2 linked regions of the Drosophila melanogaster genome follow. The protein of the gene in region 1 purifies or fractionates together with the protein of each later gene. This does not show direct contact. Each region holds a gene or a part of one and is shown in the gene's direction. Other genes may lie near its edges.

Region 1 (3,356 bases):
GGAGTGGGCCCAGCACTGGATTACACGAGGCTTCCGGGCGGTTGAGAAGGCGCTGTCCACTTCGGCCGGCAAATATTGCGTGGGCGATGAGATCTCCATGGCGGACTGCTGCCTCGTACCTCAGGTGTTCAATGCCCGAAGGTAAGTATGATACGAAATCAACTAAATCTCGAGATGCTGAAGCCTAGCTTGATTCATTGATTCCTATTTCGTTCCAGATTCCACGTCGACTTGCGACCGTATCCCATAATTCTGCGCATCGATCGCGAACTGGAGAGCAATCCGGCATTCCGGGCGGCCCATCCCTCCAATCAACCGGACTGTCCGCCGGAGCTGCCCAACAAATAGAATTTTCCGACCCCAACTGCAAAGCGCCGTAAGACGAAAAAGTGAATTGCAGTTCGTAAACCAGGCACAAGACAAACTAAGAACTTAAATCTGATCGGTGGGCACGTGGATGGCGATGGCGATGGAGAATGGATTGGATAGGATGGCAAAGCTGGCGAGGATTCCATTAAGCAGAAACAGTCGGATGTGATTTAAGAAATTGCTAACAGCATTTAAATATGCATAAATGCATAAAAATACTATCGATAACATAACGAAATTCCTCACACGAAATTCAAACGCAAACGCAAACGCAAAATTCTCAGAAAACGGAACAAAAAATCGTATAATAAATTCTTCAAATTCCCTTAGTTTGTCATTGTGAATATGATCTAAAAGATGAACTCATATATATTAAATGTAACTTATTTTTATGCATTTTATTTAGGCTAACAAATCATAACAAATTCAAGGAGAACTCACGACGAAAAGCAAAATTCAATTCAGGGATTTAAAAAAAAAAAACCAAAACCAAATTTAGAAACACTATCGAAGATTTACAAGTATAAACGATGTATGTATGTATGTATGTATAAGTACTTCATGTCAAAGTCAAAGGGCAGATGCTAAACAAATCGTTCACAAAGTACAAAACGTCAGTCAACCAATAAGTAAACTAAAGCAAGCTACATATACACTAAATCGAATAAATCCTAAGTAATTTATGTGAACTAAGCTAAAGAATCGATCACCTATTCGATGGTTCTGGATTTCGTAATGCCTCTTTGATACCACGAAAGCATAACTAACTAACGAAGTATTTCCCTAAATCCAATGCACATAGACGAAATACAAAGCGAACCGATTAAGTGCACAGTAATTTTATTAGCAAGTTGATGTAACTTGGACCGTGTGAGTCTCCTCACAACCCCGTACGAGTAGTTATAAACATAAGCCTGCCGATGCCAAGTACATACACACAAACACCCATACTTACTATCCTGCACGACAGTACAACGCACGAGTCGAAGAACGAACGCCAATAGTCATCATCATACAAACATACATATAGGTCGAGCTGCGCATTTTCGCACACCAATCGAATCGAATACCAAATTGAATACGAACCAACTAATATGCATAATTTCCGAAATATTGTAACAGTTCCATATACTATAAATAAATAAAACTTCAAACTAAGCTGAAATATTGCTCAACAAATGTACTTTTAATATATCAAAAGCAGCACGAAAAAGAGTAGGCAAATCACAGATATCTATCATTACTTGAAGAAATATAAAAAACTCATAAAATTGCATTACACCTATAGGATCTTTATCATAAAGTACCCTTGTGCCATTTACTTGAATATATTACGAAAATAATTGCCTACTCTTGGGAGCAACCTATAAATGTAGGGAACCTATCGATAGTTCGGCACAGCATTCTCCAATCAGAACAGCTGAGTATTCTTATTGCTATCAGTTAGCAAAAGTAAACCGGTTGTTTTTCTCACTATAAGTTCTGTTACTTAATAGAAGGGTTCTCTTAAAGAATATATATTTACATATATGGCTTCTGCTACCCAATTGACCCACAGAGGTATCCATTTGGCCGGACTGTACAGATCTTCTTGGTCTAAGCCCTTGTTCCGACATTTGGCAACAAAGCCTATACTGTATTCCTATTGGCCTAGTTCGTGTTCTTGGAGAGTTCGCGTTGCGCTGGCAATAAAGAAGATTGATTATGACATTAAGCCGACTTCTTTGCTAAAAACAGTTAGCGGACATGCCTATACGGATGAATATAGGGAAGTCAATCCGATGCAAAAGGTTCCCTCGTTGAAGATTGGTAAGTGAAGCGAGCAATTTGAGTATTTCAAATCTATGAGTTTTGCGGCATTAGATGGCCATACCTTGTGCGACTCGGTGGCTATTATCCACTACCTGGAGGAAACTCGACCTCAGCCAGCACTTCTGCCCCAAGATCCGGTTAAAAGAGCAAAGATCCGTGAAATTGTGGAGCTCATTTGCTCGGGCATCCAGCCACTGCAAAATGTATCTGTCCTAGATCATATAGGCAAGGATCAGAGTCTGCAATGGGCACAACACTGGATTTCTCGAGGATTTCAGGGTCTCGAAAAGGTTCTTTCCCATTCGGCGGGCAAATTCTGTGTGGGAGATGAGCTCAGCATGGCTGATATTTGCCTGGTACCTCAGGTGCGCAATGCCAGGAGGTAAGAAACATTAATTTATTTAAATTTAACTGGATACTGATTTATTTTAAAACTCCTAACCAGATACAAAGCTGACCTGACCCCATATCCCACCATAGTACGCTTGAATCAGGAACTACAAGAACTTGATGTCTTCAAAGCCACTCATCCCAGTACCCAGCCAGATTGTCCACCTGAATTCGCAAAAAAATAATCAAAACTTAAGATATATTACATTGCATTTATAAAGATGCTTGATATTAAATGGATTTCCAAAGCACCCAGCACAAGTCGAAGTGAAAGCTCATTGAATTATAATATAATTTTTATTAGTTTTGTCATTTTTATATAATCGTTCTTAAATGTGTAGTGTGTAATTCACGTAATTCATTTATGTACCGTCCTAACTTTGCATTTCTAATTTTCCATCCTGGATGCGGATCGTTATAATGTTTCTGTGTATGTAGTATGCACTTATTGGCTTTCCTGGTTGGAGTGTTTCTCTGTGTTTGTGTGTCTGCGTGTGTATATATGTATTCAACAAATTTTCTATAAATACTATTACATACATACAGATGCGCCAACGCATTACATAACATAACCATTACATTCGATATACATGTATGTTCCGCACTGTACCTAACGTCGGTACCGATCCATCGCCTACCTAGCTTAGCTTTCATTTTATTATTGGCCGTTTAGCGCGCCATTACCGTAAAGTTTTAGTCGCAATCTGCATTATAATCTTGTTCATTTTCTTATTAATTTTCTTTTTCATTTTCGTTTTCATTTTTTTGTTCGAGTATGATTCACT
Region 2 (5,181 bases), about 21 Mb from region 1:
GAGCTGAAAAGACATTTTCGAGAATTAATTTTAGAATATTCCGTCTTGCGTGTGCTTGGCGCTTTGTTTACACAGCGCTGCGGGGAAAACCGGGGGTCCGTTCGAAACACTTGTCTTTCATATATCTTGTGCAGTCCGCGATGCGATACAGGAAGTCCGCACATCGCTGTCAAAACTAAAGCCCCCAAATGCCAGCAATTGAAAGCGTTCGCTAATCAAAAATCTAAATCGGAATCAGCACAAAATCAGAAATCGGACAGAAGGCAGAAGGTGAAATCACTTGAGATGGGCATCTTCCGACAGATGCCCCTGCCACAAGGCACCCTGTACAGGCCCCGCTGGCTGTGATGCACTGCCTCCACTCGCACATCGAACGCTGGCCACGGCAAAGGAAAAAGGGAAAAAAACGAACGGAAAATAAAGGAAAAAAAAAGAAAAGCGCATGAAAAAGGAAAAGACGGCGTCAAATGCCGCCCGGCCAAATGGCCAGCCGGATCAGCCCAATGTATTCCACCCGATTCAGAGTTGTTTGCCCACAGAGGGTATCGATGAGATGTCTGGGCTTATTGGAAAAAAAATGTTGGAAAAAGGGAAATGCAACACGGGCTTATGGGGATAGTAAGTCCCTCTGATAGAGTGGACAAATTGGTTTGTAAATTAATTTTAAAATCTATCTAAATTCAAGTTTATAAGATATTTTTACTTCTTGAATAAACATTCTATAATTCTTATTGTAAAACTCTATTCTTACTATCAAAATCTCTTTTTTAGGTATTCCAAAGTCGGAAGATATCACTATCTTCATCCTTGGCTGCCTCTTTTTTCTGTCTATTGTTAAATCCACCCAAAATAGCTCCACGCACATTGACGAGAAGAGTGCGTGGGTCTTTGACGGGGAGTATGGAGAGTAGGGGGTATGCGGAGTAAGGGGAGTACAGACCATATGAGATGGCGAATGAGGAGTGTTGGCACTTCACGGCGGAGTTTCACATTCTGACGGGCCTCAGACGTCCGGCAGCCGCACTAATTGCATTCGCCTGGTCAAACGAAGAAATTGCAACAGGCGGACAATTAGCGAGCGAACTCATTCGCATTCAAATTTCACATTTGCTCAAAGAAAGAACAGAAATACTGCACTCAGAAAAATGGTTAACTCACTTCTTACTTCATTGCAGATATTTTGATATTTTATAGAACTCTGGAGTTCAATTTCGGAAGGATTAGGATACATGTGGGATCACAGCCTTGTACTTTTACTTTTTAACATACGAAATATTGTCAGATAGTTTCCTCTTTTTACCAAATAAAGCTTTCTAAATGTAAATCCAATTTGGTAGGATTTTCTCTCAGTGTAGAGGCACACAGTGTAGAAAAGATCGGAACGAAGGCAACAAAAAACTTTTGAAACGCGACGAAGATCAACGTTCAAAATTGAGCAGACGTCAGCAGCGGCAGCAGATCGGCAGAGAACTGAGAGTGAGAGTGGAGGAGAGAGTGTGGAGAATTGCTGGCGCTCTCCCGAGCGCTGGGGGTCTCGGGCCGTCCCGCTCGCACCTGCGGCTAACACATTGGGGGCCTCTGCCCCACTAGACCCTCCGGAACTCAGACCGTCTCGCTCTGCTCTCCGGCGTCGGTTCCGGTGGCAGACGGCAGAAGATTCTAACTAGAAGAATTAGAAGAAGCTAGGACGGAGGCAGCAAGTAGAAGACCCGTGATCGTGTAATTCGCCTCGTGTGCGTTCCGTTGTTCCGTAATTATTCCGGATTTGTTTTCGAAACAGGCTGAAGTGATGTGATGGGATTTCGATAGCTCCATCTTTCAACTTGTTTCGCTTTATCCGCCTTTTGTCACCACGGCTCTACGTTATTCCGTTGTCCCATTGTTCCGTTCTTCCGTAGTCCCATTGTTCCGTAATTCTCCGTTCTCCGTTGTTGTCGCGCCTTTCGTGGCCGCTGGTCGACGTTACGTTTTTACAGTTCGATAATCGAGCACTTCCCGAGAGGATCGAAGGCTCCAGGCATCTGCGTAAACCACGAAGGATCTACAGTACCTCTAAATATACCGCCCTTAGGTCGAAAACAAGTTACTAAAAAACCAGCGCGCCGTGAAATTCCTCTTGTTTATATAATAACCAGCGGCTGCCAAAAGCCCAGCGGAATATACAAAAAATATTCATTTTTCTAGCTCTGGTCGTTTGTATTTTTCAGGCTAAAAGAAAGAAAATAAGAAAGAAGAAAACCCAAGCAATTCTGCGTGTTATGTGTTATCGTTGTGATCAGTGATCCAGTGATCAAGTGAAAGTGAACACAAGAACGTGAGAGAAAGCCAAGTGAATCAGCTCGACTCCAATCGAAAAGGATATAAATCAGAGACAATGTCGGACATTGAGGATGTTTTCGGTGGCTCCGCCGAGGAGACCAAGCCCGAACCCGATGCCCAGAGCAAAACCAGCGTGGTCACCGAGCACACCGAGGAGGTGATTCCCGGCGAGACCGAGAAAATGGTAACGGAGACCATCGATGAGGATGGCGATGTCGTGGAGGAAACCACCGAAGTTACCCGCAAAACGGTGAAGCGCACCATGAAGATCACTGAGGTGAGTGAACTCTGACCCATGGATCCATCTAATAGCCGCCATTATCCATTAACTAACTTATTGTGCGTGTGCTGAGTACAAACATAATTCGAATAGCCATGAAAATCAATATGTATTCTGAATTTGAAAACCGTTCAAGAAGCTATAAAAATTCGGGAACTTGGGAAATTCTTAATGGAAACTATTTCCAAAAGCTTTAATGTTAAGTGCATATTCGCAATCAACTTAAAGAACAGTTCGTTAAAATTTATTAAGCATGGAAATTTTTATAAAAATATTTTCGATTCAAGTATTGTTTACCAAGCTTTTGGTGGGGGGATATATGCCGCAAAACAACATCTTGTTTTTGCATTGAATTTATATAAAAACATCGCATATTTTTGCGAAAGTAAATGACATTCCATTTTACATATTTCCGAAAATATTCTTACGGAACTACAAGTTTAAACCAAAGAATCCGCCCAAAACTGAATGATTTCCTCAATAGTTGGCCACCCCCGATCGTTTGGCTTATGAAAGACTATAAATCATTATTCTCATATTCTGAAGGGATCTTCTGCCGTACTGGTCTCCTCGCTTGTGAAATTGGCCAAAACATGGCGAACTCTGGCTATACATTATTTATACCAAGTGCCATTTCTCTATGTGCGTCTTAGCGAATTGTTTATACGGTCCCACGAATATTATAAATCTTCCCATACATTATACATCACACACACCGCGGCACAGATATAGACGGACATATAGGCGATTATATACACATATACATATGTATGTATATGTTCGGCCACACTTTCTATAGGCGACGTTGCCGGGGGAAAGCCAACAAAAAATACAAATTTTGCAGCTGTTTGATTTCGGCGCAAATTATCACAAAAGATTTCAAATGGCATGGCGTATAAAAAAAGCTGGGAATTAAATTATTATTAAGCAGAAATCACTTAAATACTCGATGCCGAGCTATGCCAAAAAATCCCCACACTCGAAGAGAAATGGCAAAAAAATTAAATGCAATAAATTCTGTGCCGCCAACAAATGCAGAGGCAAAAAAACAAGTATCAGACCAAAAAAAAAAAAAAACAAAAAAAACATCGAGAAGAAGGCGAAACAAAAAATAAATATTGAGGTTTCCGTGTCTTGCGGTCTGGCGCGCACTGGGCGAAAGTTGGGTGGTGCCGCATGGGGCGGGTGGTGCAAGTGGTGGGGCAGCAATTAATTGCCACAAATCGTTGCACAAAATTACAAATTGCATTTCCGGCTTGGCGCGGCGGCCACGCACTTCCACCCGTATTCCCCACTACCGCTACCCCACCCCAAACCCCGCAGAAAGTCTTCGATTTTCCCGCCGCTGTTTTACGACTGTCTGGCCCCCCTCGCCCCTCGCCGGGCGAAAAGCAAAACACCGCCCGTTTTTCTTTCGTCGAGTTTTATGGCAGCCAAATTAAATTTGCATTGCAATTTACTTCTTTTTGGGTCGGCCTCTCGGCCTTTTCTCGTTTTTCCGTTTTGCCGTTTTTATGGGCCCGAAATGGAAATGAAAACGCATGAGCTCAGCCAGCCGGAGTCCTGCGAATGGGGCAGGGATAAGGATGTGCTGCTGCCAGGGCATATGTTGCCATATACACAAAACAGGATCGTATGTGCCTCGCTCCGAGCAGCTTGCCGAACTAATTGCGCTGCCAAAGTCCGGTTTCCTTGCCGAAGCTCATGAACTGCTGAACTGCTGAACTGCCCAAGCCAGCTTTCCCCGCTCACTTTCTCCCGGCGGCATTTCCTGGGCGAAAGCGGCTAATGAGTCACGTACCGTTTTTGTCATTTTTATGCGCTTAACAGGTCAAAGTTCCAGCCGCAGGGATACGTGACCAAAGTCGAGTTTGAGTTGAAAATGCAAAATTAGTTAAATAAAGTCGGAGATACGCCGGGCACTTTCTCCACTCCCCATCCCCACTGCCTTTCGTTATCCTTAATTCGAGGCGAAGCGGAAAACTGTCATAAATTTCACAGTTGATTTCACCGTTGTTTCCTGATTTGATTAGCTCATTAAACGACGGTAATTTGTGCGGTGCGGGGTATGGTTCAAGCCTCTGTGTATTTGCTTATAAACTAAACAATAAATATTAAAGAGAATGACTAAATTGAATAAAATATTCATAGAATATTCATGATTGATTAGTTTCAACAAAATCGAACTCTCAATCTATTGTCACTGAAAATTCAACATCAAATACGCCCAATTTGCGATTATTAAATTATCTGATTATGCGCCATTTAATGCAAACATTATGGAAATGCACCACTATTTAATAAACACCCAAACGAGCGACTTTGCGGTCGGAAAGTTCGGCCATATTATTCCTGCCGACTGGAATGTAGTTAAGCAAATCTTTGCTCAGCTCCGCCGTTCCAATCAAATGGGGCATGCTAATTTGTGCAACAAGCCGTAAACTCACATAACCGGACACCACATCCATATTACACATGAGCCCCATGCGGAGATTGCTGGGATAATGGAATTTCCTGTGGCCTCCAACGTCCATTGTCCTGCTGTCCCGTCCAGTATTCTCTTGATTAGACATCATAATATT

What was found.
Region 2: the proteins of GstZ1 (region 1) and tmod purify together in Drosophila melanogaster (affinity purification with mass spectrometry, with the first as the bait; one large-scale study listed by BioGRID). This does not show direct contact.

The regions. Positions count from the first base shown.
Region 1 is NT_033777.3:9,454,988-9,458,343, reverse strand, and holds GstZ1 (glutathione S transferase Z1), read left to right. Parts: upstream 1-1,797; 5' UTR 1,798-1,898; coding exon 1,899-2,178; intron 2,179-2,232; coding exon 2,233-2,563; intron 2,564-2,626; coding exon 2,627-2,756; 3' UTR 2,757-2,827; downstream 2,828-3,356. Other genes in the region: GstZ2 (glutathione S transferase Z2), read left to right, coding at 1-141, 219-348. UniProt on the Drosophila melanogaster protein: Catalyzes the glutathione dependent oxygenation of dichloroacetic acid to glyoxylic acid in vitro. Possesses low glutathione thioltransferase activity toward 4-hydroxynonenal (4-HNE).
Region 2 is NT_033777.3:30,530,912-30,536,092, forward strand, and holds the start of tmod (tropomodulin), read left to right. Parts: upstream 1-1,925; 5' UTR 1,926-2,071; exon of another isoform or gene 2,072-2,184; 5' UTR 2,185-2,374; coding exon 2,375-2,596; intron 2,597-5,181.